Ovis aries: one gene and its partners. The protein of the gene in region 4 purifies or fractionates together with the protein of the main gene of each other region. This does not show direct contact. Links are inferred from orthologs where the notes say so. Each region holds a gene or a part of one and is shown on either strand. Other genes may lie near its edges. The genes, in order: CDC25A, BAG2, AKAP8L, RAF1, DICER1, TIMM50 and EMD.

Region 1 (3,483 bases), about 4.7 Mb from region 4:
CAGGCTCCACTCTATTTTGTAATAGACCTTCGCTCCAGCTGTTATCCACTCTGGCAGCAGCCCCCAGCATCGCACATCCAAGTTTCTCTGGTTGCGTGTGGGCCCGTGACTCACCATGTGCCTGACTTCCTTCTGCAGTGTCCTCTCTGGCTCCTTCAGAACACAACTGAAACGCCTATCTCCTTTACACTGGTCCCTCCTCTGGCCTGTTGCTCAATCCTATGAATTAATACATCTTGTCAGGGAATGTCAAGAAGTCCAGGCAGGCTTTTCCTATCCCCATTTCATCTTGTCAATCAATCTGAATCACAAGCTTGCTTTTGGACTCAGGGGAGTAACTGAAGGTCATCTGGCCAAGCCTGATGTCAGGCCACATGACAGCTCTTTGGCATCTTGAGAAAATGTCACTGCCTCTAACCAGTGCTTTTAGCCAGGTGTGGTCCCAGGTCTTTAGAGACTCACAGTTCCCTTTAAATCCATCATGAGGCAGGCAGAGAGCATGGGTTCAAGATTGTTTTTATTTTCAGAGCCTGCAACAGTTGGTTAGCAATGCTAGCTGAGCTGGTATGATCTGAAGGCCATCCCACCTCCCTTTTCAGGCATTCAACCAACAGAATCCCTACAAACAAGATTGGAGACCAATTCAGATGGGTCTCAGTGTGTGTGTGGGGGTAGAGGCCTTCTCCTGTTCCCCTCCTCCCCATATACTTTTTCTAACAAGATTGTTTTATAGTCAAAAGCAACTCAAACCCATAACATAGCAACCAGTCATCTCCAGTATCACTGATTTCCTCCCCACCCCCAGAACAGGAAGCTGAGGCAAGAGGGGAGACTGACTCTTGAATATAAGAAAAACTTGGCAACACCCCAGTGGAGCAGAGATGGTGAGGAAGCCAGCGCCTAAGGGTAGGGATGAACAGGCACCAAACAGCCGTCTGGAATCAATCCACTCAGCCCCAGCTCCTTGGGAGGTGTTCCTTTGAGATCCCCACTTCTGTGGGGTGAGATGAGGGGGAACTGGTGATAACCCATCTCTCAATGTCCCTCAAATTAAAACATGATAAACTCAAAGTTTTACCTTCAAAACCCACCACGCTGCTGCCTCCCGAGAAACACACGCTGTAGTCATCTCTGCCAGCACCCACTCCTTTCTAATGCCAGGGGCTTCCAGCCCCTCCCCATACTTGGGGGGCCCAGGCAACATGAATTCCATACTCCTTGACTCATAAAAGGGCTATTTTTTTTTTTCTTAAAAAAAACAGAAGCTGTCAAAGAGTATCGGAATGATGAAGGAAGACACTCAAAAGTATACTCCCTTCCCTTATCCCACAGAGCCCCCCGATCCCTGCCCCCCAACACTGGGATACCTATTCTATACGTTCCAACAATGACTTGGGAGTGGCCCCACGGAAGCTGCCTCTAGTGCTTTCCTGATCGTGACTCTTGCCCAGTGACATCACAGGGAGCTGGGGTGAGGAAAAGCAGGGTCACTCCCCCATAGTAGGTCTCAGGGGCCTTTCGAGGTAGGTCTGGGAGATTTAGCTTATGTCCTGAAGCCAAGTCTGAGTCCGGCGCCTGCTCCCACCAGTGTCTCAGTCCTTGGCTGTAAATAGCAGCGGCCCCAGCACTGCAGCGCCTCCCGGGGGAGACAGACAGAGCCCCTTGTTCTCTGTCCCACAACTCATGTCCCTCTTCTTCCCCCTCCTTTATTCTTTTTTTCTTTAAAAATGAAAGGCAGAGGTAGTCCCCGGGATGATAAAATCCTACCTAGGATGGCAGTATTCTAATTGAAAGAAGCAATTAAATAAAAGTCTCCAGGAGTTGATTTTTTAAAAAAAAAAGAAAGAAAAAAAAGTGATTGGTGAAGTTGAATAAATTAATGATGTGGGCTAGCCCACAAAGACCTGTGCTTCCCGGGCCGTCTTTGGTGTCTGGACAGCAGCGTCTGGCAGTCTTCTCTCCGTCTCTCCCCTCAGGAGACAAGGCCAGTGCCCAGCGAGGCCGCAAGGGGCCCATCCAACCATGGGGGAGGAGGCAGAACGCCTTGACTTGCTGCTCGGAACCCTGCTGCGGCACGTGACCACCTTGGCTGAGCGCCCTGCTGAAGAAGGACGTCTTCCAGGGACTGAGAGGCGGCGGGAGGCTCCGGGCTCCAACCTCGGGAGGGTGCGAGGTAGGTTTAAGACGTGGAGGCCTCCGCCCTTCTCTCCAAGTGTCGTGCTGCTGACCCCTCTGCTCAAGTTTCTCTGCAGCAAAGAGGGGAGTGGGGAGGGCTGGGAGGCTGCTGCCGCCTGGCCGCGAGACCCTTAGAGCTTCTTCAGGCGGCTGTACATTTCCCTCTTGCTCTTCTCCCCGGCCCAGGTCCGGCTCTTGGTGCGGAATTTCTTCAGGTCTTCTTTAAAGTCCTCGTGGTGCATGGGCCGGTAGCTGGGGGGCTCGCAGTGAGACTGGAGGGAAGACAGGCCAAGATCTGGGCACACTGGCCTCCCATGCACACTCCTGCTCCCTCCCTGCCGGGGGCCACAAGGCTCTGCTGGGGTGGGGTGGGGGGCGGTTCTAGGCTCCTTCTTTGCTCAGGGCAAACCCCCAGACCCTGGGTAGGAAACAGCCATGACCACCAACTAGGGGGTGGTGAGGGGTGGCCTGTGCCCTCCAGAGAGTCCATCTCACCTGGCATTTCAGGAAGAACTCCTTGTATCCGCCCTTCAGGACATACAGCTCTGGGTAGTGGAGTTTGGGGTACTCATTACCGAGCCGATCCCTCTCTCTCACATATCGGCACCTGTAAAGGGCAAGGAGAGCCAGAGTCTGATTCGCTCTGCACGGGGAAAGCAGTACCTCTTACACATCTCCCCAGCTTGGCCTGCACTCCTGGAGACAGTGCCAGATGTGATTTCCGCCGCTGCCGCGACCCTCAGGGACCCTGCGCACAGCCAGCTCCACGGCCTTGTCTTGGAAGGCGGACGGTCTCCTCCCTACTTTCCAAGTTAAACAGCGTCTTGGTTCCCACCCAGTGTCTTCTCTGCCACCACCACCACCGATTATTTTAAATCTGAAGTGATGCTTTATTGTAGCTATACTTCCACTTATTTTGGCATAAAATTTATCTCTGTAGTAAACTATAATAGGGCCTTAGTCATAAAAGCTTGTGTATGGGGGGCAGACGGCGTAGTTCTTTTCACCTCTCGTGTGGCAATAACCTGGAAGTAACATAACCCCATTCTTTGCGAACATGGATTTGAAAAGTGTTTGAAGGCGTCATGTTAGGTTTTGCCGAGAGGACATCACACTTTCCTGGCATTTGCATAAGGAGTCACCACACTGTCCCTGAAGGATGTCACCCGAGAGCAGCAGCCCCACCAGCAGGACTAGGGGCAGTGGGGGAACCCAAAGAGCCAGAGTTTAACTCAACAGAAAGGCAGGCTGAACGATGGGCCAAGCCCAGCAGTGGCCAGGACTCACCCAGGAGTGGGGGTGATGAAG
Region 2 (4,262 bases), on a different chromosome or scaffold from region 4:
CTACACTTTGAAATATGACATAGTAACTCAGAAAACTCAGGCGTAAAGCATTAAGCTCTGCAGCCACTCCTGAGCTCTTTTAACTTCTCAAGCCTCAATTTCCCGCCTGGACAATGAGGGTGACATAATTTCCACAAAGACACAGGACCTGTAGTCATGCTGGTTAGCTAAGATACCTGTTGGAGGGTATCATTTATGAATTATATGATCACTGCTAAACTAGTAACAATCGTGAGCAAAGTGCTCAGAGCCACTGACAAATGGAAAAGTCAGAGGCCATTTGCACGGTCACGAAAACCCGTAGAGAGAGACATCACCTTTTTAGGAGGAAGCAAAAAAGGAGATCTAGTTTCGTGCTAACGCATTAGAAACAACTGGAGTTTCTTCAGCGATTTGTGAGATGCGGTCAAACATTTGAAAAACTTTAAACACCATGGACACCAGTTCACATGGCAGGTCATGAAGCACTGAGCATAATTCTATTTTCGATTTCATGCGGAGAAAGTTTTTGCTGAGACTAGCACAACAGAGGGACAGTAAACACAGACCTCCTGGTACAGTCTGTGATTTTCAGTGTGCCTGCAACACTGCTTTATTAGCCACTCGTAACATGAAAGTAAATGACAGTTAACACATGAATGTCTTGTTTTCTTTTTAAACTTGATCTTCTGGGCCTGATTCTAGTTTCTAACAGCTCAGTGCTCTCTTCCATGACCCATCTGCCTTCATAAACTTCTCTATTTTTTACTTAACCTTCCAAAAGACTTAATTTTGTCAGCATCACTTTTTTTTAAAAGAAAGAAACAAAGCTCATCAGTCTAAAACTAGAAAAGTCCTTAAAATGAACAACTGAACACACATTTATCAGTCTCAGCTCAAGGGTTAATTCAGCAAGTGATTAACCACTTGTACACGGTAATCAGAATTCATTTCACATTAAGGAAGCCCTAGAACGTAATATTTCAAACAAGAAACTTCCTTTTAAAGATGAGCACCTGCCCTATGTGAGGCATCAATTCAAGTCTTAGAACAATAACTCAGCTTCAAGAAAGGAACTGTGTCCTGCCCGAGCTGAGAAGAAAACATCCTTTCTTTCCAACTAGGGAAGAGCCCCCCTGAAATGGCTGAGAACATGCCCTCAAAGTTCTTGAGACCAGAGACGCTCAGTCACTTGTTAACGCTGCTACATAAAATCGTCCACAGGAACTGCTCTGCCTGTTCCACCTGCTTCAGCTGGAGAAGGACCATTGTCACTCTCCGTGAAATCGTGGTGGTGAGCGTCTCATTTTCTGAGAAGACATTGTTTCTTTCTGTAATAATAAAAAGAACTATACAATAAATGATGAAAGTCAACATAAATATTAATAAATGATAATAAGTGCCTCATTTGGTTATTAATGTACTTTACTGGCAAACAGACCCCTTGTCCTGTTTTGAGATAAAGACACATATGCAGCCCTTCTTAAAATTGTGTCTTACATGTATTCCTTTGCTCACTCAGAGTCTGGTAACTATGGGAAAAATTACCTGTGGTTTTAGGGAGTTTTGGACGCCTTGGTAAGATCTGCCTGTAATTACACCTGCACACAATTTACCGGACCTTCAATGACAATAAGAAGTTATGGGAAGTACACAGAAGTCTTCATTCACTGTTAGAGAAAAGATTATTTCCCAAATTTCTTACACATTATTTAGGAATCCTATACAAGCCGGTGACTACATTTGTCACTAAGCAGGGTCCCCACACCGGTTTCTATAGAAACTGACAGCAGCACAGCCTGGAAAGAATTCAGGGAAAGAGCCGGGGTGAGGCACTCTGTGCTCTGGGAAAACTGGCAAAACAGGCTCTCCGGTTTTCAGGAACTCAGATTCCTAAATCTTCTCAAATTCAGAAAAGCACTAAAAGCTTTAAGGGAGACAGCAGCTCCTCCTGACCGGTGGTAACCTCTGCGCGCCTGACCCCGGGCCCTGCTCCAAAGTCACATCCTCGCTGACCTCAGCCCGACCCTCGCCGCCAGGGCTTCCCTCTGCGCGCTGACCGCCGTGGACACCCCGACCGGGAGGGGACACGCCGACCGCAGGGACACCCCGACCGGGAGGGAGCGCTGCGGCTCGGGCCCTGGCGGCCGGGAAGGTGGGACGGCGCCCCGGTGAGGCCGAGCGCGGCTTGGGGAGACACCTGTCCGCTGCTCTCGGGCCTGAGGCCAGACGGATTTTTCCGTTTTGCAAAGGGCTCGGTCGCTCAGCACAGAAACCACTAACCGGCCCCGGTCCTAAAACCGCTCGCGGCGGGGAGTGGGCCGGAAACACCTGGCCCCCCGCGGAAGGTTCTGGAAGCTCCGCGGCGGCACGGCCGTCGTCTCGAGTCACGTCCCCCCTACCTCCTCTGTTCGGGGTCGCGCGGTCCCGGCGCTCGGGGCCGCCGAAGGGTGGGGGGCCGCCGCGCCGACCCAGCGCCGCGCTGCCCTCCGCTCCGCCCTCGCCCCCCGGTCCTCGCCCGCAGCTCCGTCCCCGCGCGGCCCCCGCCCCGCGCACCTGAGCTCCAGCTGGTCCAGGCTCTCGAGCAGGCGGCTGGAGCGATCGGCCATGGACGAGGAGCGACAGAAGCGGCCCTCGTTGGCCTTGGCGCTGATCCTCGCCTGAGCCATCTGCGCCGGGCGGGCGGCCCGAGGTCACCGCCGTCCCCACGCGCCAACCGTCTACTCGGATGCGCTGCCCGCAAACCCGAAGTCGGGGGCCAGGGCACCCAGATAAGGGCGCGAGGGCTTGGCGGCCGGACTCCGACCGCGCGAGCTGCCTCGGGGGCGGCGCGGCGGGGCGGCTCCGCGTGGCGCCAGGCCCGGCCCCGCCCCGAGCACGCCCCGGGGCGAGGCCCGCGCCAACCACGCCCTCGCCCCGCCCCACGGAGGCCCCGCCCCCAAGCATAGCCGGGGCGGGGCTCGCGTGAGCCACGCCCTCACCCAGGCTGGCCCGCGGCGCCCCGCCCCCGATCACGCCCCGGGGCGGGCTCGCACCAGCCCCGCCCTCTCCCCGCTCCGGGGCCATCCGCCGCGAGGAAGGGGTCCTTTGCGTAGCCGTGGTTCCCGGGCACCTTCCCGAGGTGAGAACTGGAGTCTGGACGCCAACAGAGCAGAAGACAAAAAGCCGCCCTGTCCAGCTGCGTGTAGGGGTCAAGGTGAACCTCATCGTTTTCACACCCACTCGCATGAAAGCATTTGTAATGACTTCTCTGTTTAAGTTATTGGTTGGAATTCGAGTGAAATGATTGTTATTTAAGGCCGTTTCTAACCCCATTTGTATAAACCTCCTGTTATGAGAAGACCATGGAGGCCGCTCGGCCACCGTGCAGGTCAGGGAGTAGTAGAGGGGTGGCGGGGCCAGAGCACACTAGGCGTTCTGCCCAGCAGTACACGGAGGGGATGCACAGGGCACCGGGAAGGGGATAATAACAGTTCAAGGCTGGAGCCCAACCTTTAATCTGAGATCAAAGTCGAGGTACTTGAACAGAGATGAGGCCCCTAAGGCTAGATCCCAGTTCCTCTGAACTCTTAAATACTAATTCACAACTGCTGTAGGGGGTCATCTGGCCTCATTAGACGTTTTATTGTATCATGACAAACGTGGAATCCTAGACGTTTTGTGAATGTGCTAGACTCTCTCACACCTCAGACTCAGTGGACTCCAACTCCAGAGAATACCCAGGCCCGTCTTCACTCCCCACTGGGCCAGCATCCCAGCCTTGCCCTCCCATCTGGTCTGGTGCTGTTTGCACCACTGTCTGTGCTCAGCTCAGCAGCTGCAGTGATCCAGAATAAGGCACAGCAAATGACTCCTCAGAAACCTTCAGCGGCTCACTTGTGAAATGAGTAAAAGCCAAGGCCTTCAGAAGAGGCCTCAGAGGACTCTCGTCGCCTGCTGCCTGCACTAGCCTTGCTGTGCATGTCTGGATAAGCTCACTCCCTACCTTCAGGCCTTTGCTCAAGTTCTCTAAGGACCCCGACCACTCTAGTACGAAGAGCAAGCCCCGCCCCCGCCTCACCCCCACCGCTCCTCAGCTCTTTCGGGCGGCTGTTTTCCTTCCTCATCTCAGCAACCCCCCCCAAGTGTGCCCCACTGCGGAGGTGAGGGCTTCCTTTTGCTCACTGATGTATTTCAAGTGCTTAGAATAGTCGCTGACAAATGTTAAGTACTCAATAAATACTTTGTGAGTGAAAGAATAAATGGTTTAAAAGAAATTTAAAAGAAAAAAAATTGATGGAAAA
Region 3 (3,500 bases), on a different chromosome or scaffold from region 4:
TACTAGTCCCCCACTTAAAAACTCTGTTGCCGATAGGAGCAAGACCAGGCCCCTCAGCCCAGCCCTTGTGAACCTATGTCCAATCCCTCCTCCAACAACACTTGTACCGTATGCTTCTCCCTGTTTGGTGTCTGAACCTAATTTGGCCATTGGCCCTTATGCATACGCAGGTCCCCATTTCCCAGAGCCTACTTCTTCTTAAGGTCTGGCTCTGATGCCACCACCTGCCACACAGAGTCCCCGATTCCCATCCTTCTGTAGCGTGGCTGATTGCTCTGGGCTGGAGATGTGTCTATATTCCTGCCCCTGGCAGGCAGGGGTCATGACCCCAGCACCTCCCCAGAGGCCTAAGCCAGTTAGCCCACAGGATGATGGGAGGGCACTGGTGGCCACTCACCCTGCGGTTCCGGTTGTGATCCATGGTCTTGAGGTGCTTCTGAATGATCCCAAACTGCATGGGAATGAAGAGGTCACAGGCTGCACAGTGGGCTGCCTCTACCTTCTTCACAAAATGTTCCATGGCAATTTCTGTAGAGGGGAGAAGGAGGGAGTCGCCACTGGTCCCAGACACCTAAGAAAGACCCAGGAGTTGGGGGAAAATGCCAGACCAGCTCCTCACCTCACCCTGCCATTTCCACGTGGGCCTGAGGCTGTTCTCACTGACCCTCCCTGGGGGAACAGAGGGGTGTTGTGACCCTACTCTGAGAACCAGAGGAGGGAAGGCTGTGGTCCGGCCTGGTAGGACTGGGATGGAACCTCCTCACCTTGTGTCAGATCTTGGTCTCTGTAGATCTGCTGGATCAGACCATCAAGGTCCTCCACGGTTTTTCTGAGCTCCTCTGTCTTTTTCGTCTTGTTGGCGACATATTCCTGCCGGATACACCAGGGAGATATCAAGCTTTGTGTGGGCCACTCTATGTCTGCAGGGTAACAACAGCTGTACCAACCACTCCAAGGCTCACCTGCAGAAAGTCAGCTGTCTGCTTGGGGAGCTTGGTGCCTACGTACTTAAAGTGTTCCTTGTGAAACTTGCTGTCAAGGTGGCTGGCCATCTCATCCTCATAAAAGGTTCGGTATTTGCAGAGAGAACACACAAACTGGATCCTGCCACAGGAGGGAAACGCAGAGCTGAGACCAAGAGGGTTCTGGGAAAGAGTGCTGTTGCCTCACCCAACCCAGCTGTGAGCCCTGAAACAGGCCTTGCTCATGGGCCTCTGAGGTGTGGTCCCAGCAGGGGGACAGGCTAGGACCAGTGGGGTTGGGAGTGCAAAGGGACAGAACATCTGCAGGCTGCAGTTACTGCAACGCAGGGGACAGGGCAGGAGCTCTTCCTTCCCACAGGCAGGAGGTTGAAGCCTGAGGCAGCAGCAGCTGCAACAGGCAAGGAGTCGCTGGAAGGTTGCTGGAGGGCCTCTCTACCGAGGCTGGGCAGGAGCTTGTGCACTTGGCCCAGCTGGGGAGCAAAAGGAAGGATGCCCTGGCGTGAGCCAGGTGACCCTGAGTGCAGAGTGAAGTACGCAGTCCTGAGGCAGGGCCCGGAAAGGTGCTGCATCTTCCTTGTGGGGGCTGAGGGGCTCAAAGACCCAGCCCATCCTCTGCTCAGAATGCTTGGGGGTAGTGTCGGGAGGGATGGGAGGCAAGCAGGCCTGGGCACCTGCTGCCTCATCTTCCTCTTCTGAGAAGAGACCAGTCTGAGCTGGAAGGAGGGCGCCCGCCTGGCCTGCCAGAGGGCAGCCTGGAGTCACCTGAGCGAGGTGCTCTGTCTGGGCCGCGTGTCCACAGCAGAAGCCCGGGGTCTGGGGCCTGGGCCGGAGCAGGCCGCCGTGGCAAGGGGCGGAAGAGGCCAGCCGCCACCGAGGCCTCGGGGCAGGTCCCTACCTCTGCCGGACGTCCTTATCTGGGCCACGGGGTCAGCTTTGTCTGGAGAGCCCAGGGGCCGGGCGCCGGCGAGGCTGAGGAAGGTCCAGCAAGAGCAAGAGTCTGAGGCGGAGGAGGAGGAGGCAAGCGCCAGTGCGGGAGCCCTGAGGGCAGACAGACCCGACCAAGGGGCGTGAAGGGCTCAGCCGCAGACAGGCCCGGCCTGACAGGGCCGGCGGGCCGGGCAGAGGGCAGGCCCGAGGCTGCCACAGCCCACAGGTGCTGCCATCTCTCCTGAGCACGGTGACGGCCTCTTGGCAGCTAGCTGGGGTGGCACAGGCGCCTTGGACCTTGAGTCTCTGCTGAGCTGGCCCCCTCCCACAGGGGCATCAGGCCCCCAGTGCACCTTGGGGCTCATGTGCCAAGTGACCTAGCGCCGGAGCTTCTGGGCAACGGTGCTGAGCAGTGTCAGATCTCAGGCCAAAGTCGCTAGCGGTCGCCAGGCGGCCGCACAGGGGCAGGGGATGAATCAGGCCTTGGGAGCTGGGCCTGGCGGAAAGCAGGGTCCATGCACGGCCGAGCAGGTGGCGGCTCCCAAGGGAGGCCAGAGGGCGGTGAGGCAGCAGAGCTATGGCCCTGCTCTCCTGGAGGCAGCCCCAGAGCGAGGCAGAGGCAAAGGGGTGGAGGGAAGCTGGTTACCTTTCCACCATGCGGTCTCGCTGCCGCTTTTTCTGCTTGTCCAGACTCTTTTTGCCTGCCTGCAACTTGCGCTTGGCCTGGCCACTCTCATCCTGGGCGCTCAGGACCCCTGTGGGAACAGAAAGATACGGCTATCAGTCTGTGGCCTCTGGCTGGATATCCACTCTCTACTCCAGGGGGTCCATTCTGAAAGCAGCTGTCTGAGCAAGGCCTCTGGCTGCAAGCAGGACCGGGTGCCCTGGGATGTGTGGGGAGTTGACCCCACCACGTTCCAGGACATCCACACTCTGCAGAGTGAGCCACAGGGAAGCTGGAAGGTAAAGAGAGGCTGTCTCAGTGGAGATACTGGCAAAAGTTCAGAGGACCCAGGTGGCAGAATGCAGGAAGGCCTCAGGTAGGGCCTGAGTGCAGCCCCCAAGGGTAAAAGGCCCCAAAGCTCACATGGCCCTGCCCACCCACACTGGGTACCGCGGCAACAGTAGGCTGAGGCTGGATTTAGGTTAGGTACCTGCTGGCGCTCATCACTCGAATAGGGAGACACGGACTCCCAACAGGGGCTGTAGAGGTGCTAAGGGAAAGGACACGCAAACCAGAGCCGTAAAAACTGCACCAAGGGTCCCACCTTGGACACCAGCCACTGAGGACTCGGAACTGCATGTTACTAAGGGCCTGAAGGCAGGGGTTGCGCCTGGGGTTCCCCCACACTTTTGCTTGCCCCACCCACCTGAAGGCAAAACCAGTGTACTGTCTGAGATCAGGGCCAGAGTAGGAACCAGGAAGAGGAAGAGAGATTACTCCCTACCAGCACATAGTCAGCCACACAGGGACAATCCAAGTTGGGCCTATTTCTGCCAAAACCCTGCCCTCGGCTGGCCCCCTCCCGCCACAAGCATCTGGAAAAGCCCCCAGTGCCCGGGCCACTCAGAAGACTCACCCTTGTCTGC
Region 4 (3,500 bases):
GGCATTCTCCTGGCTGCAGCATTCGTGTGAGCCTTGTGAGAGAGAATGCACGAGCTTTCTAGTCACTGAGTGCTCGTCTCATGGAGGGAAGATGCCCAACTGATGTGAATATCACTTTTTTCTATGTATGACTTTTGGTGCTAATGGCGATCTGTCCTCTCATACTTCAGTCTTACCATTTGTGCATTTCTGAGACAGAATGTTTCCAGAAAAGCTATATGATTTAGGTTACAAAGTGCCCTACTACATATAGATTAAAAAAAAAACAACACAGTATTTTGATGTAGTTGGACATTAGGCCAGTATTTCCTAGAACTGCACGCTAGAGACTCTGTGTTCATTGGCAGGTCAAGATTGTTCGTGTTCTGTAGTCACTAGGCCAGTCACTTAGGTTGGTAGTCCATTGGTGGACTCCCCAGGTGGCTCAGTGGTAAAGAATCCATCTGCGATGCAGGAGACCTGGGTTTGATCCCTGGAGAAGGGAATGGCTACGCACTCCAGTATTGCCTGGAGAATTCCATGGATAGAGGAGCCTGGCGGGCCACAGTCTGTAGGGTTGCAAAGAGTTGGACGTGACTTGAGCTACTTAAACAACTTACTCTGCTGCTGCTGCTAAGTCGGTTCAGTCATGTCCGACTCTGTGTGACCCCATAGACAGCAGCCCACCAGGCTCCCCCGTCCCTGGGATTCTCCAGGCAAGAACACTGGAGTGGTCTGCCATTTCCTTCTCCAATGCATGAAAGTGAAAAGTGAAAGTGAAGTCGCTCAGTCGTGTCTGACCCTTAGCTACCCCACGGACTGCAGCCTACGAGGCTCCTCCATCCACAGGAGTTTCCAGGCAAGAGCACTGGAGTGGGGTGCCATTTCCTTCTCCGATGAATGTGGTTGGCTCTCATCATAACCGACATGCCCATCCACGTCCCCTCCAAACTGCCCACAGTAGAAAGGAAAAGACTGAAACCCAGAGAGAGAAAGTGACCGCTGCTCTGAGGGGCTCCTGAGTCTCCTACCTGGCTTCAACTCTGAGGCCTCATTGTTGATCAGGGGCTGCCGAGCTGCTGTGTCTGAATCCTCTTCCCCTCTGGGATCCTGTGGCCCAGTGGACGTGAGCAACAAGAAATAGCTGGCCAGCAACTTAGTCTGGGTAGCCTAAAATGGTCCAGGAAAGTGTGACTAGGAGAAGCTGAGTTTGGAAGGCCAAGCAGGCTGACTGTAAAATCACTATCACAAGTCTGTAAACCAGCCTTTCTCTGATTTCATTTAGATTGTTCCCAAATTCCACTGTTGGTGATGGCGGGGTCCCAGCGCTGCCTTCTTTGACGATGCGTCGGATGCGAGAGTCTGTTTCCCGGATACCTCCTGGGTACTTTGCACCTACTGCTTTTATGGGAAGTTGTACTGGGGCAGGTGGAATTGAAAGTGTGAACACATAAAGATTTTAAAATTAAAAAAATAAATAAATTAAAAAAAAGAAAGTGTGAACACAGAGGACAGGAGTTCCCTTGAGGTCCCTTCTCTTTCCATGTAAACTGTGCAGCTTCTGTGGAACTCAGCATTGGTGTTAAAGCAAAATGTAGAACTTTCCTTTTGTTGTCCTTTAGTTCTTAAATTCTGGAAAGTGAATACAGTTAATTCTGGTATTCTGGCATGTCCGTTATGTCTCATTTGTGTGTTTTGTTTTTGTATTTTTTATTGAAATGTAATTGCTTTACAGTGTTGTGTTACTTTCTCCTCTGCAGTGAAGTAAAGCAGCTGTATGTATGCAGGTGTCCCCTCCCTCTCCCACCCCAGCCCTCTAGGCTGTCATTTCACTGAGCTGAGCTCCCCGCGCGGTATAGCAGCGGCCCTGTAGCTATCTGTTTTACACACGGTAGTGGATACATGTCAGTCCGAATCTCCCAGTTCATCACAGCCTCCCCTTCCCTCACTGTGTCTGCAAATCTTTCTCTACGTCTGTGTCTCTAGGGCTGCCCTGCAGATAGATTCTTTGGAGCTGTGATTCCACATTCCACATATATGCATCAGTAGTTGACATTTGTTTTTCTCTTTCTGACTTAACTCTGTATGACAGACTCAAGATCATCCACATCTCTACAGATGATCCTGTTTTTTCCCTTTTCTGGCTGACTGAGATTCTCCTGTCTACACGTACCACATCTCCTCTCTCCATTCACTACATTTCAAAGACTTTGAGATTTGCCTTTGTCAGTATGCAGTGAGCCTCAGGGGAAGGGTCCCAAAATGATATACAGTGATTCAATAAAAGTAAAACCCTCGACTTTGAAATACTTATTATGGCCTTGCATTGCTAAAACCATGATGTTTAATAAACTGCTATCTTGAAAAAATCTAATTAGATTTTTAATATAAAAAATCCATTTTAATGTGCCTGTAAGTTTGCACATAATCTGTCTTTACTCTGTTTTCCAACTTTAAAATCAGAGTTTTGTTGAGTTCACATGCTTCACTCAGTTCTACACATGAATTTGGAACCTAAAATAATTCTACATCTTTGCCCCAAATATCTGACTTTAATTTATATGTAGTCATATAATATTTAATGGCCTTTGTAAAACTAACATAGAAATTATTCAAGGCAGCATATCTTAGAATAAGGAATTTGTATTGAAATGATACTTGGATGTATTAGTGTATGACCTTATTTTTCTTGATAATTTGAAACGCATGTCTTTCTGAAAAACTGTACTTGCTTCTGAATATTTAGATAGAAGAAGCCAGGCCTCTGAGGCCATTCATGTTGAATTGCCTGGAAAGGCAGTTTTTTAAGGCCATGAAATAATTTCTCTTGAAAAACTCTTTCATCCCTTGAATTCATGCATGGTGCTAACCTTGTCTGAACAAAACCCAGAGTAATCTTTTGAGCAAATGACAGTGTTACGCTGAATGCATGTTTCCAGTTCGCTCGTGGGAGAGTGGCATTGGGTAAAAGAAGCCAGTGATAAATGTCAGAGGTATGCAGATCTGAAAATCAAAGTCATTGTAATTGATTTTGTGAGCTGTTTATGGGGAGAGGATGCCCATGAGTAAAGCGCTACTTGTGTGCAGGCACACTGGTCAGGTCTAAGATGGTTAGAAATCTTCCTTCAGGTTTTCTCATTTAGTCTCGAAATGAACCTGGGAAAGTTCAGCTAGCTTAATTGTACAGGGTAGTGTTGAGATGGTCTAAAATTTTGGAGTATTCTGTAGACGTGATTTATTGAAGTATCATTTCTTTTTACATGAATTCTGAGCACATATGTTATTTCCTTTTTAAAAATTTGCATGCAGAGGCACCTCAACAGAAGAAAAATTGTAAGTGGTGCATATTTAGATTGACGAAAGGAATACTTTTGTCGAAGGTCATAGTGTAAGTAGGGTTTGCCCCGAGTATGTTAATGAAGTAAGTAGTTGAAAGATTTTTCCATTCCAGAGGCCTGAGTGTCAACTGTGGACTTTTGTTTCTCCTTGTTGCCTAGTTCCCAGCACAGATACTCCACACC
Region 5 (4,211 bases), on a different chromosome or scaffold from region 4:
TGTTTACCTGTTTGGAGCATGGGGACGGGTGCAGGAGAGTCTTTTTACTCTATATCTTTTTATGCTTTCTAATGAATGAACCATATATCTAATACTCTTTTTTAAAGTTAAAAAAAAAAAAACCTGATGAAAATCAGACAAAGCTGGTGAAGGAGAAGCTCAGCTAGTCTTGACAGACTGAGAGGACAATAGGAGAGAATGAAAATTTTACCTGCCCACAAATTTCCACTATTAGTGAACCCCAGTGCCTATCCCCACCCAGAGATGTCATTCTTCTTACAAAGGATTATCTCCAAAAAGGCTTTACTTAGCAACCTGGGGAGGCCTTCTGCCTATAGTGCAATATAAATGCTTGACACATATAAGAAAAGCTATTTCTATGGAGACCTGACAGAGTGTTCTGACTACCTCCTAATTTTGCCCATGAACATTCTATGTTTTTCTGAAACATTTTGCCAACTGACGGTATATATAACGATCAAAATGTGAGCACTGTAGTACCAGCCCCGAAGCCAGATCCCCAGGGTTCAAATCTCAGTTGTTCACTTGTTAGCAGCTTACTTGCTAGAGGTTATGAATTTCTTTCCTCTGTTATTATAAAATGGAGGGCAAGCAACAGCCTCTGCTTTACAGGATCCACATGAAAATCAAAGTTTACAAGAGCCCGTCCAATACCAACATAATGCTAGCCACAAAAGACATTAAATACTTCCTAGAATTTAAAAAAAAAAACAATATTTATCCCAATATGTCAAAAACATTATCACTTTAACATGTAATGAATATAACAAATAATAGTGTGGTTTCACATTCTTCTTTGGTAAGGAACACATACATCTGATTTTCAGGTCTCCTATCTCTGTTAAGACTGTGCTGTGCTTAGTCGCTCAGCCGTGTTTGACTCTTTGTGACCCCATGGACTGTATGTAACCTGCCAGGCCGCTCTGTCTACGGGGATTCTCTAGGCAAGAATACTAGCGGGGTTGCCATGCCCTCCTCCAGGGAAATCTTCCCAATTCAGAGATCGAACCCTGGTCTCCCAAATTGCAGGCAGATTCCTTACCGTCTGAGCCACCAGGGAGACCCCAACACTAGCCGGATTTTAAATGTTCGACGGCCCCCTTTGCATCAGCGCAGCCCTAGACAAGTCTAGCACGATGTAGGTGCTATGCGCTCTTAGCCGAAGCTTGGTTGCGGTTATGCTACCTCTTTTGGGGTAAACCAGTCTATCAGGTGAGCAGTCTGGAAGACATGCATATGTTTGGAATAAACTAATGCGATTTTCTTTTAGCCAGTCACTTACTGGCCCTCCATATTAATTCACAGCTACAAGATAAGGTGCAAGGTTCCGATCTATGCAAATAGACTATTCACAGAAGTGGGGCCGCTGCCCTAATCTCATTTTCTGATCATCCTAGTTCCGGGTTGGGGGAAGGATGCGGGGTTAATTGTCTCCCCTAATGCGGAGGGCCCTGGACCACTAACCCTGGGGAAATGCAGGCGAGTGGGACGGTCCTTTAAAAAGGGGATGGGGCGGTGAAAAAGAGCGCCGAGCTCTCGGGAGAACAATTAACGGCCACGGCAAAGGGCCACGTTTAGGGGGCGGTCGGTGCCAGAAGGGGCAACCATGAAGGCGGACGAATTCCGAGCGCCAGCAGAATTCTCGCCGAGCCAAGCGAGCGTCCGCAGGCCGGGCGCGCGGACACCCGGCGGGCGGCGAAGGTTCCCGGCCCCCGCGCGGGCCCGCGGAACGTCCGCGTCCAGCCCCGGCTCCTCTGGGCCGCAAACACCGCCAGGGGCCTCTGCCGCTCGCGTCCACTGTCTCCCGGCTCCTGAATGGCTGGGGGGCCGGGATTAACCTTTCACCGCCGCGCGCTGTCCAATCACAGGCTCTCTCTCATGCCGGCGCGGCGCGAGGGGGAGCGCGGGGGCGCGGGCGCCGGGGAGATTCTCCAAGCCGCCGTGCGCCGTTGCCGCGGGGCCGTGCGCGGGCCTCGAGCGAGCCGGGCGCTGCGCAGTCTCCGCAGGCGCCGGCGGGAGGGGTCGAGGCGGAGGCGCGGCGCGGCGCGGGCTGCTCCAGGCCCCAGGTTGGATGGAGTGACCTGACAGCGGGGACGAGGCGACGGCGAGCGGGAGGACATGGCGGCGGCGGCGGCGGCGCCGGGCGGCACCGGGAGGCCTGGGCTGTGACGCGCGCGCCGGAGCGGGGGTCCGATGGTTCTCGAAGGCCCGCGGCGCCCCGTGCTGCAGGTGAGGCGGGCTTCCCCGGCCGCGGAGCCGCTTTTGTGTCCCGGGAGTGGGGGGCGGAGCGAGGGAGCGGCTCCGCGCGCCGCCGAGGCCCGCGTGGGCTCCGGACTCAGGTGGGGAGACCGGCGCGGGGCAGATGGCGCGGCCTCCTCGCTCGGTCCTGGGCGGGGCGGGCACCCGCGCCGCCGGGCTCGGCGCAGCCCCGACTCGCTGGCGCGCGTCCTGACTCGGCGCTCCCGGGGACTTTGTGCGCGGGGTCGCCTGGGCACCCGGTGGGCACGCGGGCGCCTCCGCACCCGGAGTGGAGCGCGCGGGGGAGTCCTCGCCGCTCGCCCACCCACCCCCGGCCCGCGGATAGCTGGGCTTTGACAGGTCCGGCTGCGCGCACCAGGGTGGCGCGGGGTCCGCCGCCGCCGCCGCGTCTCGGGAGCATCCCCGGGAGGCTGCGCGGTGGCTGGCGCTGGCCTCCTGGGTGGACACCTTCGAGGGGCCCGGGAGGGAAGGCAGGCCGGGCCCTCCTGCGCTGGCAGGAAAGCACGAGCCTTCGGGGGCGCGCCCGGGCGAGGATTGTTCGTGTTTATTGGCAGGTGACCAGCTCTCTGGGTCCCCAGGGGGCGGGTGGCCGAGGCCATCTTTTCGCCCCTCCTCTCCGATTTTTTTTTTTTTTTTTTGGTGCCAGCACGCCCCTGGATCCCTGCAAAGCGAGGCTTTCGCAAAGGGTTTTTCAATCCTTGGCAAATCAGTGTAATGTTTTAAGTTAGCACTGCAGATTTTTGGCGGGGGGGGGGGGGGGGGGGGGGGGGTAGACTTTCCAGAAAAGCTGAGTTCCTCCAGGGCTTTGCCCGCAGTGTAGAGCTAGCAGGCCACTTAATGTGGCTTTTTAATGGCCTGAAGATGTGCAAAGACAGATGAGCGGGGAGTATTTACTGTAGAGTGTTCAGTCCATGCTTTTGTGGAGAAAGTCATGCTTACAGGGACACCTCATTTACAGATGATCAGTCTTAAGTATTGAGGTGACTATCATGATTTACAAATGTTCAGGTGGTGAAAGAGTTTTAATTTGAAGTCTTTGCTTGTTTGGTGCTTTGGATTTTGCTGCTGCTGCTGCTTAGTCGCCTCAGTCGTGTCCAACTCTTGTGCTGTGGATTGTAGCCTGTCAGGCTTCTCTCTCTGTCCGTGGGATTCTCCAGGCAAGAATACTGGAGCGGGTTGCCATGCCCTCCTCCAGGGCGTCTTCCCAACCCAGGGATCGAACCCGGATCTCCTGCATTGCAGGCAGAGTCTTTATCTCTGAGCCACCAGGGAAGCCCCTTGAATTTTTCTGGATCTTCACAATCCTGATGTTCAGTTCGTTTCCTGTTGCTTGGTTTTCAAGTGCAGCAGACTCAGTGAATGGAAAAGGGCACAGATTAGGAATTAAGTAACTCGGGGGGGGGGGAATATATATATATATATATAATGTGTGTTAGTAAAGGTCAACTACATTGAAAATATATTGGTATTAACATGAAATTTTCTAAATACCCATTTTAGCCAAGGACTCCAGTAATTTATTAGAGGATGGATGATGGTACAAGGTTCTGAATAAGGGTGCTAGTGAATAGTAATTTTAGTATTAATATCTTTGGGAACTAGGTGGGCATAATCAGTTTATTTTGCAAAACTTTGTTAGTAGCTCTCTGTGGCAAATCATATTACATGTAATATATGCTGTATATACTTACATATAGTTTTTCAAATTTTCATTGTGGGACATAGTTTGTAATACTGTAGATTAGAAACACTACGAAGAGTGCTTTTAACATGATTGCTGTGAACATTGATTCAGAGCATCAAAATGCTGTTTTAAGAAACGATGTACACATTTAATTTGGGGAGAAAAGACCTTCATTTCCTACAATTATTGTAATAAGGGTTTGCTTTACCTTTTATGCTGTCATCTCATCATTAAAGGTTAAGTTCTG
Region 6 (4,060 bases), on a different chromosome or scaffold from region 4:
AACAGTATGACTCTACATCTGCCCAGTTAACACATACTTAGCTACCTGCCAAGTTTAAAGTGAAAGTGAAGTCGTTCAGTCGTGTCCGACTCTTCGTGACCCCATGGACTATACCCTACCAGGCTCCTCTGTCCATGGAATTTTCCAGGCTAGAGTACTGGAGTGGGTTGCCATTTCCTTCTCCAGGGGATCTTCCCAACGCAGGGACTGAATCCGGGTCTCCCGCACTGAAGGCAGATGCTTTACCCTCTGAGCCAACACCAACGTAATAACATGCCGGCTTGCAAACATCTCCAGCACAAACAAGTGGCTTTCTGGACCTACCAGTTTTATATTTCTCTTGGGAAGGACCAGGTGTGATAGAATTGGCAGCTTCCCTCTACTATCCAATTTGTCAGAAACTCCCTAAAAGCTGGCTAATCAGAAGGCGGGGAGGGAGGAAGGAGGCATTGTTTTGGAAATGAGCTGGATGGGCTATGGCCTGGTGGGAAAGAGAGGCTGTCATAAACAAGGGGGTGAGGGGCTGCAGATGCTCAGATCTAAGGCACAGGAAGCCATGTGTCTGGCAGAGAAAGCCCAGTTCTCCCCCAGGCAGTCCCACCTACCCAGGAGTCCCCTCCCCCACTGCCCCTGACCATCTGCTCCTGGGCTGAGGGGCCAGGGAAGGGGACTGGAGTTCTGTATGCCCCTCTTCCCCCAAGCCATACAGCTGCTGACTCCCCCACCTCCCAGTGGAAGTGGGCGGGGGGAACCAAATGGGGAGGGCACAGTAGAGAGGGTCAGGGGACCCCAGAATCTACGATTGTATACTCACCGTTGTCGAATTCATCGGGAATCTGGGAGGTAGAGAGAAAAAAGAAGGGTTTGGGACGGCAGAGGCAAAACCCAGGCAAGGAATCTCCGGGGCCCTGGGAGGAGCAGGCAAAGGTCCCTGGGAGGGAGGGTTCACTCCAGACCAGAAAGGAGCCTGAACAGACCAGATGGGAGGAGACCCACAGGATGCGACCCCTGGTAAGGCCTCTGTGTCTCTCTCCCACTCACCTTGGCACCATTTTCATCCACAGCATTGTTTCCTGCAAGGGAGATAGTGATGAATGAGAAACTTGAGGCCTGGTCTCCTGGGACTTATGGGAGGAAGAGGGCAGAGGGCCTAGCCTCCTGGGTCTGAGGGAAGGGGGCTAGAGGTATGGTCTCCTGAGAAAGAGGAGGGGGCTGGTAGCCAGAATATCTGGGTCTCTGAGACAAGGAGGGCTGGGGCAGGGTCTCCTGGGTCTCTGAGGAATAAACAGACTAGAGGGAGGACTGGAATTTTGGGTGCTGAGGGAAAACGTAGCTTAGGGGGCTGGTCCAGACCTCTTCTTCCCCCCTTTAAACTGACTCCCTATAGCTTAGTACAGGAACCAACTAGAAGGAGTAGAACCTTGAGCAGAGGGGTAGTAGGGGGATTTCTCTCATTTCCAAGTTCCAGTTGGCTGCCCTGAGGGAGGAGCCAGGGAAAGAAGATGGGTGAAGTCCTTAGGGGAAAGAGGGGGCAGTCCCCCCAGCAGAACAGAGGGCCAAGAGAACATAACTGGGGGACAGGGATATGTTCCTCACCGAAGATATAGATGACGCTCACGGTCCCACCAGCCCCAAGCAGCCCAGCGAGCCAGAGTGCCACTTTTTTGGCATAGCTGGGACCCTCAGAGCTTCTCTGCTGCTGTGGTCCCTGCGTCTGGGCCTTAGTGCCTGCTCGGCTCCCAATCTCTGCAACCTGCAATTGAGAGGGGGTAGCTTGGCCAAGAAAGAAGAGAAACAAGGTCGGGGTGTTTCCAGCACCCTGGTCTAAGAAGAATCAAGGTTGAGAGCCAGGAAGAGGACACCCATATGGCCTCCAGGTGTTGTGTGCCTAAAGGGGCAGGTAGGGGACTGGGTCTCTCAGAAAAGTCAAGAACTAAACTGGCGCTATGATCCCAGGGGTTCAAGAGATGACAAGCCCGGGGCCCAGGATCCTACAGAACCGGAGCGCGGGTGGAGAAGCAGGGAAGGGAGATACGATCAGGGACCCTGACTGAACACTGACTAAGATTTCTGGAGCAAGCCACTGAAGGCCACGCAAGAGGACAGGACGGGGAGTTAAGTCCTCCGGCCGTCTGGAGCTCACAGTGGCGTATGGAGGGGGACGGAAGGGAGGAGCAATAGCCTGCTAGGACTTGGGGAGCAGGGCACAGAAGTAATGGACCCGGAGGTCAGAAGGGCACGGTCTCTGTCAAGATGGAGGCAGGTCGAATCAGAAGACCTAGCAACACCACCAGCACCACGGCGGGGAAAATACCGCGAGGCCAGGCTGGGACTCCAGTGTCCCGGGCCCCTCCCCCTCGAGTATTACCTGAACCGTCACCGAGACAGGAGAGCAGGTGACCCCTCCTTCCCCGGCGCCCACGTGGGGTCGAGAAGCTGGGGTCCAGAAGAGGTGGGATCCAGAGGAGGTAAGGTTCAGAGGACACACTTGAGTCCCCAAGCATCTATCCCGGGGAAGCAAGGGCTGCCAACCCCGGGAAGCGGGGAAGAGACTCAAAACGCGCGTGGCGTTCCATTCAGCACCTTGAGGTGCTGCGTTCCAGAAGCTCCGGGCGGCCCCGGCCCGCCCGGAACCACAGGAAGGAGCCCCAGCACCCGGGGACCAACCCCATCCGGCTCACCTGGTCCGGGGCCCGAGGGGGCGGCGTCGCGAGCCTCGCACACAGCCCCCGCGCGCCTTGCCGGAGCCCGCTCCGCAACCGCAGGAACAGCGCCGCCGAGGCCGCCATCTTGCGCTGACGCCACGCGGCCCCGCCTCCTCACTCTCTCCCCCCGCCCCGGGCCGGGGCCGCGGCCAATGGTAATACAGGGGCGGGGTGGGTGGACGGGAGCCCGAGAGAGACAAAAGGCTGCGGGCTGGGAGTCTCCCGCCGTCACGTCCTGCTCAGGCCGGAGGGCGTTCCAGCGCCCGCGCCACAGGACGGGGCGGGACACCCACTGCCCGGGGTCAAGCGGAGGCCATAAGGAAGGGACCTAATTGTTGCTGGATTTGTCCTAAAAACTAAAAGCCAGCTTCACACACCTTCCTCACGAGCGACCGAGAGGTCTCATCCGCCTTCCCTCCCCTTCTCCCAGCCCTTTCTTGCTTGAGTTTCCTAAACTGGGTCTGGAAAGTCAGCCAGTTTCATGGAGGCTCAGCCAAACGAACCGCTGCGGGCTCAGGGTATTGAGAGGAAATCCGAGAATTAGAGGCTACGGGAGCCATGATTAATCTTCCACATGTAAATCACCACACGGCATTTAGGGATAAATACTAAGATAATAAGGACTTCCCAGGTGGCTCAGTGATAAAGAATCCGCCTGACAAGCAGGAGACGCAGGTTCCATTCCTGGGTGGGGAAGATCCCCTGGAGAAGGAAATGACAACCCACTCCAGTATTCTTGCCTGGAATATCCCATGGTCAGAGGAACCTGGACTACAGTCCACGGGGTCGTCGGTCACAAGAGTCAGACAGGACTGAGCGACTAAACAACAGCAACAACTAAGGTAGTAAACATACGAAGTCAGGTGAAAGACACAGAATTTTAGGGTTGTGTTACTTCTGGAGGGAAATGGACTGGTCCTTCTTATTTGGTACACAGATAGCTCCTAAATTGGGTGGTGGGGACATGGGTGCTCCTGACATATCCTTTAAAACATTTGAACTATTTTAATACAAGTTATATTACATTTGTAAGAAGACGTGAACATCAAATGAGAAAAGTGAAGGTGGTTAAGGTACTAAGCCCCATTCTCTACACTGCTCCCCAGCCCCACCCAAGCCCTTAGATGAGCTACAGCGATTCTGAGGTTACTGCTAGATGGACTCGAGGGAAAGGACCATCAGATGCTGGAGCCTGCACCATAGGTCCTATTTAGATTTGTGGAGGGATTGTTGTTCCACCACTCAGTCATGTCCCAAGTGTTTGCGACTCCATGAACTGCAGCATGCCAGGCTTGCCTGTCCTTCACCATCTCTCGGAGGTTGCTCAAACTCATGTCCATTGTGTCAATGATGGC
Region 7 (4,180 bases), on a different chromosome or scaffold from region 4:
AAAACCTTGTGGTAATACCCAGGTGAGGAACTGGTTTACTAAAAGGAGATGAAACATTCCAGAGGACTGAGAGCCTTCCCCTGTCATTAGACAACCAGCCTTCCAGCAGCCCATCAAGCAGATGCCTCATTTCCTTCCCATCACTCTGCCCTTGGACACCACAGTTGGTGTCTGCTGGTCCCAGTTGAAACACCCAGAACTGACACGGTGCAAGCAGCCTCACCTGCGTTTCCCAGTGGGCTCTCTGTGTGACTATTTTTTATAAGCACTTACAAGAGCTTCTGGTAACATGTCAGGGAGCGGGCACCAAAAGCAAAACATAAATGAGTTTATGGGTTGCCTATGATCCCTATCTCAGGCTCAAAGGACGAAAGGATGAACTGACAAAGTTGGATGGCAATTCTGGAGACCCAAGGCCTGGAAGCCTTTAGCAGGGGGGCAGCCCAACCCCTCCCCATGTTAAAGAAAAGAACCCACACATTAAAAATAAATGGTCTTTTATTGTGTCCACGAAAACAAACTCAGGGTGGCCTTTGGTTAATCCCCCCATGAGGTGACGACAAATAGGAGGCATGCGATGACCAAAACCATGTTCTCCTCTCCAGGAGAAGGGTCTTGCCCTCCTAGGCCCGAAGGGTGACAGGCAAGCAGGGCCAGGAGGATCCAGAGGCAGGCCCACCCAGGTCCACCATGCCGCAGAGGGCCCAGGCCTGCTGCCTCCCTGGCAGGACAGGGCAGGGGTCAGCAAACATTGCCCATGTCCTGGTAACCCCAAGCTAGAACACACAGAAAAGCCCCAACCCCCCTCCCCCAACAAACACTGATAAGGCAGTCAGCCAGGGCTTCCAAGAGGAGCCGGCCTCCAAGGTACGAGGTCAGACCCTTAGGGCTCTGCCCAGAAAGGGTTGCCATCCTCGGCCTGCATGGAGTAGTAAACAAAGAGCAGGAAGGCAGCAAAGACCAGGAACAGCAGCACCTGGCCCCAGAGCGGGACCTGGCGATCCTGGCTCAGGCCGGCAGCCCCAGGGGCCTGCTTTTCAGGCCGGATGGCTCTGCGGGTGAGCCACGAAGGGGCCGAAGATGAAGATGAGGACACACTCGAGGTGGAGGAGGATGTGGGATAATAGGACAGGCCCAGGGAGCTTCTGGAGATGTTGGAAATAGGGCGGTAGTGTGCAATGTTCTGGTAGGCACTGTCCCGGCCATACAGGAGGCGTTCCCTGAGGCAAAGAGTGCAGTAGGTAGACCAGGAGGGCTTGAGTCCTGAATCAGCCCCAGCCCCTGGCTCGCCTTAATACTCACCGATCCTTGCCTTCCTCTTCCAAAGAGAAAAGATTGTCATCACGGACCTACAGAAGTGAATCAGAATGAGAATACCTATTGACAGGGTCGGTGTAGGTATGACAGGTCATACCCTCAGTCCAAACTGCCCTTCCCAGCCTGTTCTGAACACTGATTAAAGGCCTGGGCCCTGCCACCCTCCAGACCCCCTTCTTGGTCCTCAGCCTTATGTCTGCAGGGCCGTGCCACTTGTCCCGGCTGCCTGCATCCTACTTTCTGCCCCAGAATTCTCAAAAAGAGCTCAAACCTAGATCCCAGACCAGAGCCAGGGCACGTCCTGGGCACACTAGTCAAAACAGTTCTGACAGCCCCTTCCCCCACCCCAAAGGTCTTGACCAGGCAGGTGTCTGCAGGCCCCACCTCTCCCTGGAGGTTTCTGAGCCACCATTTGTGCCCAGTGGTTCCCTTGACTCATCCAAACCCCATGAGGACCCCCTCAGGTTGTACCCAAGTACAGGGTGCCCGACAACTCAGCTCACCTGGCGGTGAAAGGGGTCAGCATCTGAGAGTGAAGCTGAGGGCTGGCGGAAGCCCTTGGATGTGCCCATAGACTCAGGCTCCCCGTAAGTCCTGGTGGTCAAGTAACTCTCCTCATAGTAGTCATCATTATAGCCTTAGGAAGGGGGGGGCAGCGGTAGCAGAAGGGGCAACGGTGTCCCCACCTGGCCCGATGGCCCTAATCTGAATCCCATTGGGGGGGGGGGTGCTGCAGGGCTACTGCAGGACGCATGGGGTTGAGGTCTCAGGTTCTGGCTGACACTGGAAGGAAGGTGTCAGAGTGCCCACCCCACCCCTGCCTTACCCTTGCTCTGGTAAAGTAAGGCGTCCTCTTTCTTGGGCAGATCATACATATCCGAGTCCACGGACGCCGAATCTAAGTCTGAATGGGGGAGGGGCTAGGACCATTGGCCCACAGGGGTCCCCTCCCGTTTCCCCCGCGCCCCTTCCAGCCAGTGCCCTGGCCACACCCCCGCGACCCCTTCCTCAGCGTCCCCCAAACCGTGTCCCCAAGGGCGGCCAGGCGGGGCCCTGGGACGGGAGCCTCACCCGAGAACCGATAGGAGAAAGAGGATGCGGACGAGCTCGGGGGCGAGAGCCTCCGCCTCTGGGTCTCATACTCGAAGATTTTCTTTTCGTAGAGCTTGCGAGTGGAACCTGATCAGACGCGGGGCACAGGGCGGTCAGGGAGCGGGCCGAGAGGGGGCCGCGGGGCTAAGCGCGGGGAGCGGGCCCGCCCTCCGTCCACCGCGTACCGACGACGGGCCCGTGTGGGATGTTGTACTGGCGCAGCACGGCGGCCAGCTCGGAGTCCGAGAGGACTGCGTAGTCGTCCATGGCGGGCAGCGGGCGGCGGAGGCCTGGGGGAGGCCTGGGCCTTGCAACACCGGCCGAGAGACGATGGCCTCGGAGCGCGGCAGGGGAAACAGGAGTGCCTCGGGAGCGGCTACGCGCGCGTCACGCCCGCGTCACAGTCTCGGTCTCCGCGGGCAGCGCGCGCTGTGCGGAGCGGGGCCGGGCCTCGCAGAGAGCTGCCAGCGCAGATTGGTGGAGCCTCGCGAATGGGCGGGGAGGGGCGGGGCTCCCGAGCCCAGAGACGTCACACGCTGGCGCATTTAGGGCTGGACCCCAGCGAGGGGGCGGGGCCTGGGCGCGACGGGAACTAGCTTAGACCCGCCCCGGCTTGGGAGCGGGGCGGGGCCCGCGAGCCGCGACGTCACCCGCTCGGCTATTTGGGTCAGAAGGGTGGAGGGGCGGGGCCTGTGGCCATGCAACCGGCAGAAACTGGGCAGGATGCGGGAGCTGGGCGGGGCTGCGCGCTGGGCGGGGCTCGCCCTCCCTGAGTCACGTGGAGTCCGCTCGGTCTCAACTGCCCCTCTGCTCCAGCAATTGCGGGTCCCTGGCCGCGCCCCAGGCGGGCGCGTCGCCGGCGGCTGCGAGAAGGGGCCTGATCCGAAGGGGCAAGCCCTTGGAGAGCACGGGTCCAGACTAGGCGCTGCTGCACGCGCAGTGCGCGCGCGCGCCACACCAAGGAAGCCTGTAGCCACCTGACCATAAACCGCCCCCCAGAGCCCCAGACCCCCTGCCCCAGCACGCCTTCCCGCTCTGCAGGATCCTGGCCTGCGCCCGCCGGTTCCCACCGCCTCCCTCCCTCCCCTTGCACCCCAGAGGAAATGGGGCACTGGGCCAGGAGGCCACCGGCCCTCCAGGAGCCAGCAGCCTTGGAAGGGGCCCGGGCATGCCAATGGGCACTGGCATGGGGCGCCCTGTGATGCCGAGATGGCGGGTGTCTGCCTCACCCACCGGCAGTGCACCAGAGGCGCGAGGGGCTTCCCCACCGTGGCTGGGATGGCCCCTGAGCCCAGCGTGACCCAGGAGGCTGCCAGAGGGACCTGCCCCAGGCTTCCGATAATGCACTCTGAGCACCTGGGTCTCAGTGGGCTTCAGGGTCGTGGGAGTGCAGAGGGAGCCTCCCAGACAGGGGGGCCAGGGGACTGAGGGGGGCAAACCATGGAAGGCAGCCAGGGCCTGTCACAGGGAGTTGGTGAGAGCCTTGGTCAGGAAGAGCTGTCCCATGAAAATTAGGAAGAAGATGACAGTGACATTCTAACAAAGCCAGCCAATGGAATGAGGGGAAACTTAAGTGCCTCTCCCGGAACTGAGATGAAGGCTGGCAGACTGGCCCAGTTGGTGAGGGTCACAGCCTCGGTCTCAGCAAAAGTTCCTTCATGGGGTGGAGAGAAGATAGGGCCCTGGTTTAACCACATACGAAGCCCCTCCTCAAGGTTGCTGTTGGCCAGGTTTTAGAAATGAGGCTTTCTCCATCTCCCAAAATATGAGG

The links.
Region 1: the proteins of RAF1 (region 4) and CDC25A purify together in Homo sapiens (affinity purification with western blotting; 3 studies listed by BioGRID and IntAct, with this or other methods). This does not show direct contact. The link is inferred for Ovis aries from reciprocal best matches to the Homo sapiens genes RAF1 and CDC25A.
Region 2: the proteins of RAF1 (region 4) and BAG2 purify together in Homo sapiens (co-immunoprecipitation; 3 studies listed by BioGRID and IntAct, with this or other methods). This does not show direct contact. The link is inferred for Ovis aries from reciprocal best matches to the Homo sapiens genes RAF1 and BAG2.
Region 3: the proteins of RAF1 (region 4) and AKAP8L purify together in Homo sapiens (affinity purification with mass spectrometry; 3 studies listed by BioGRID and IntAct, with this or other methods). This does not show direct contact. The link is inferred for Ovis aries from reciprocal best matches to the Homo sapiens genes RAF1 and AKAP8L.
Region 5: the proteins of RAF1 (region 4) and DICER1 purify together in Homo sapiens (affinity purification with mass spectrometry; 3 studies listed by BioGRID and IntAct, with this or other methods). This does not show direct contact. The link is inferred for Ovis aries from reciprocal best matches to the Homo sapiens genes RAF1 and DICER1.
Region 6: the proteins of RAF1 (region 4) and TIMM50 purify together in Homo sapiens (affinity purification with mass spectrometry; 4 studies listed by BioGRID and IntAct, with this or other methods). This does not show direct contact. The link is inferred for Ovis aries from reciprocal best matches to the Homo sapiens genes RAF1 and TIMM50.
Region 7: the proteins of RAF1 (region 4) and EMD purify together in Homo sapiens (affinity purification with mass spectrometry; 3 studies listed by BioGRID and IntAct, with this or other methods). This does not show direct contact. The link is inferred for Ovis aries from reciprocal best matches to the Homo sapiens genes RAF1 and EMD.

What each region holds. Positions count from the first base shown.
Region 1 is NC_056072.1:51,718,774-51,722,256, reverse strand, and holds the end of CDC25A (M-phase inducer phosphatase 1), read right to left. Parts: intron 2,783-3,483; coding exon 2,671-2,782; intron 2,448-2,670; coding exon 2,307-2,447; 3' UTR 501-2,306; downstream 1-500. UniProt on the Homo sapiens protein: Tyrosine protein phosphatase which functions as a dosage-dependent inducer of mitotic progression. Directly dephosphorylates CDK1 and stimulates its kinase activity. Also dephosphorylates CDK2 in complex with cyclin-E, in vitro.
Region 2 is NC_056073.1:3,197,015-3,201,276, forward strand, and holds the start of BAG2 (BAG family molecular chaperone regulator 2), read right to left. Parts: upstream 2,801-4,262; 5' UTR 2,649-2,800; coding exon 2,536-2,648; intron 2,534-2,535; exon of another isoform or gene 1,528-2,533; intron 1,311-1,527; exon of another isoform or gene 1-1,310. UniProt on the Homo sapiens protein: Co-chaperone for HSP70 and HSC70 chaperone proteins. Acts as a nucleotide-exchange factor (NEF) promoting the release of ADP from the HSP70 and HSC70 proteins thereby triggering client/substrate protein release.
Region 3 is NC_056058.1:7,577,393-7,580,892, reverse strand, and holds part of AKAP8L (A-kinase anchor protein 8-like), read right to left. Parts: coding exon 3,491-3,500; intron 2,666-3,490; coding exon 2,557-2,665; intron 1,105-2,556; coding exon 963-1,104; intron 871-962; coding exon 765-870; intron 670-764; coding exon of another isoform or gene 620-669; intron 572-619; exon of another isoform or gene 529-571; coding exon 398-528; exon of another isoform or gene 1-397. UniProt on the Homo sapiens protein: Could play a role in constitutive transport element (CTE)-mediated gene expression by association with DHX9. Increases CTE-dependent nuclear unspliced mRNA export.
Region 4 is NC_056072.1:56,466,534-56,470,033, forward strand, and holds part of RAF1 (RAF proto-oncogene serine/threonine-protein kinase), read left to right. Parts: intron 1-1,264; coding exon 1,265-1,363; intron 1,364-3,476; coding exon 3,477-3,500. UniProt on the Homo sapiens protein: Serine/threonine-protein kinase that acts as a regulatory link between the membrane-associated Ras GTPases and the MAPK/ERK cascade, and this critical regulatory link functions as a switch determining cell fate decisions including proliferation, differentiation, apoptosis, survival and oncogenic transformation.
Region 5 is NC_056071.1:57,745,440-57,749,650, reverse strand, and holds the start of DICER1 (endoribonuclease Dicer), read left to right. Parts: upstream 1-1,411; 5' UTR 1,412-1,500; intron 1,501-1,932; exon of another isoform or gene 1,933-2,250; intron 2,251-4,211. UniProt on the Homo sapiens protein: Double-stranded RNA (dsRNA) endoribonuclease playing a central role in short dsRNA-mediated post-transcriptional gene silencing.
Region 6 is NC_056067.1:48,516,520-48,520,579, reverse strand, and holds the start of TIMM50 (mitochondrial import inner membrane translocase subunit TIM50), read right to left. Parts: upstream 2,801-4,060; 5' UTR 2,790-2,800; coding exon 2,682-2,789; intron 1,754-2,681; coding exon 1,597-1,753; intron 1,074-1,596; coding exon 1,042-1,073; intron 837-1,041; coding exon 815-836; intron 1-814. UniProt on the Homo sapiens protein: Essential component of the TIM23 complex, a complex that mediates the translocation of transit peptide-containing proteins across the mitochondrial inner membrane. Has some phosphatase activity in vitro; however such activity may not be relevant in vivo.
Region 7 is NC_056080.1:80,070,509-80,074,688, forward strand, and holds EMD (emerin), read right to left. Parts: upstream 2,801-4,180; 5' UTR 2,677-2,800; coding exon 2,595-2,676; intron 2,497-2,594; coding exon 2,389-2,496; intron 2,222-2,388; coding exon 2,144-2,221; intron 1,955-2,143; coding exon 1,821-1,954; intron 1,350-1,820; coding exon 1,303-1,349; intron 1,221-1,302; coding exon 884-1,220; 3' UTR 481-883; downstream 1-480. UniProt on the Homo sapiens protein: Stabilizes and promotes the formation of a nuclear actin cortical network. Stimulates actin polymerization in vitro by binding and stabilizing the pointed end of growing filaments. Inhibits beta-catenin activity by preventing its accumulation in the nucleus.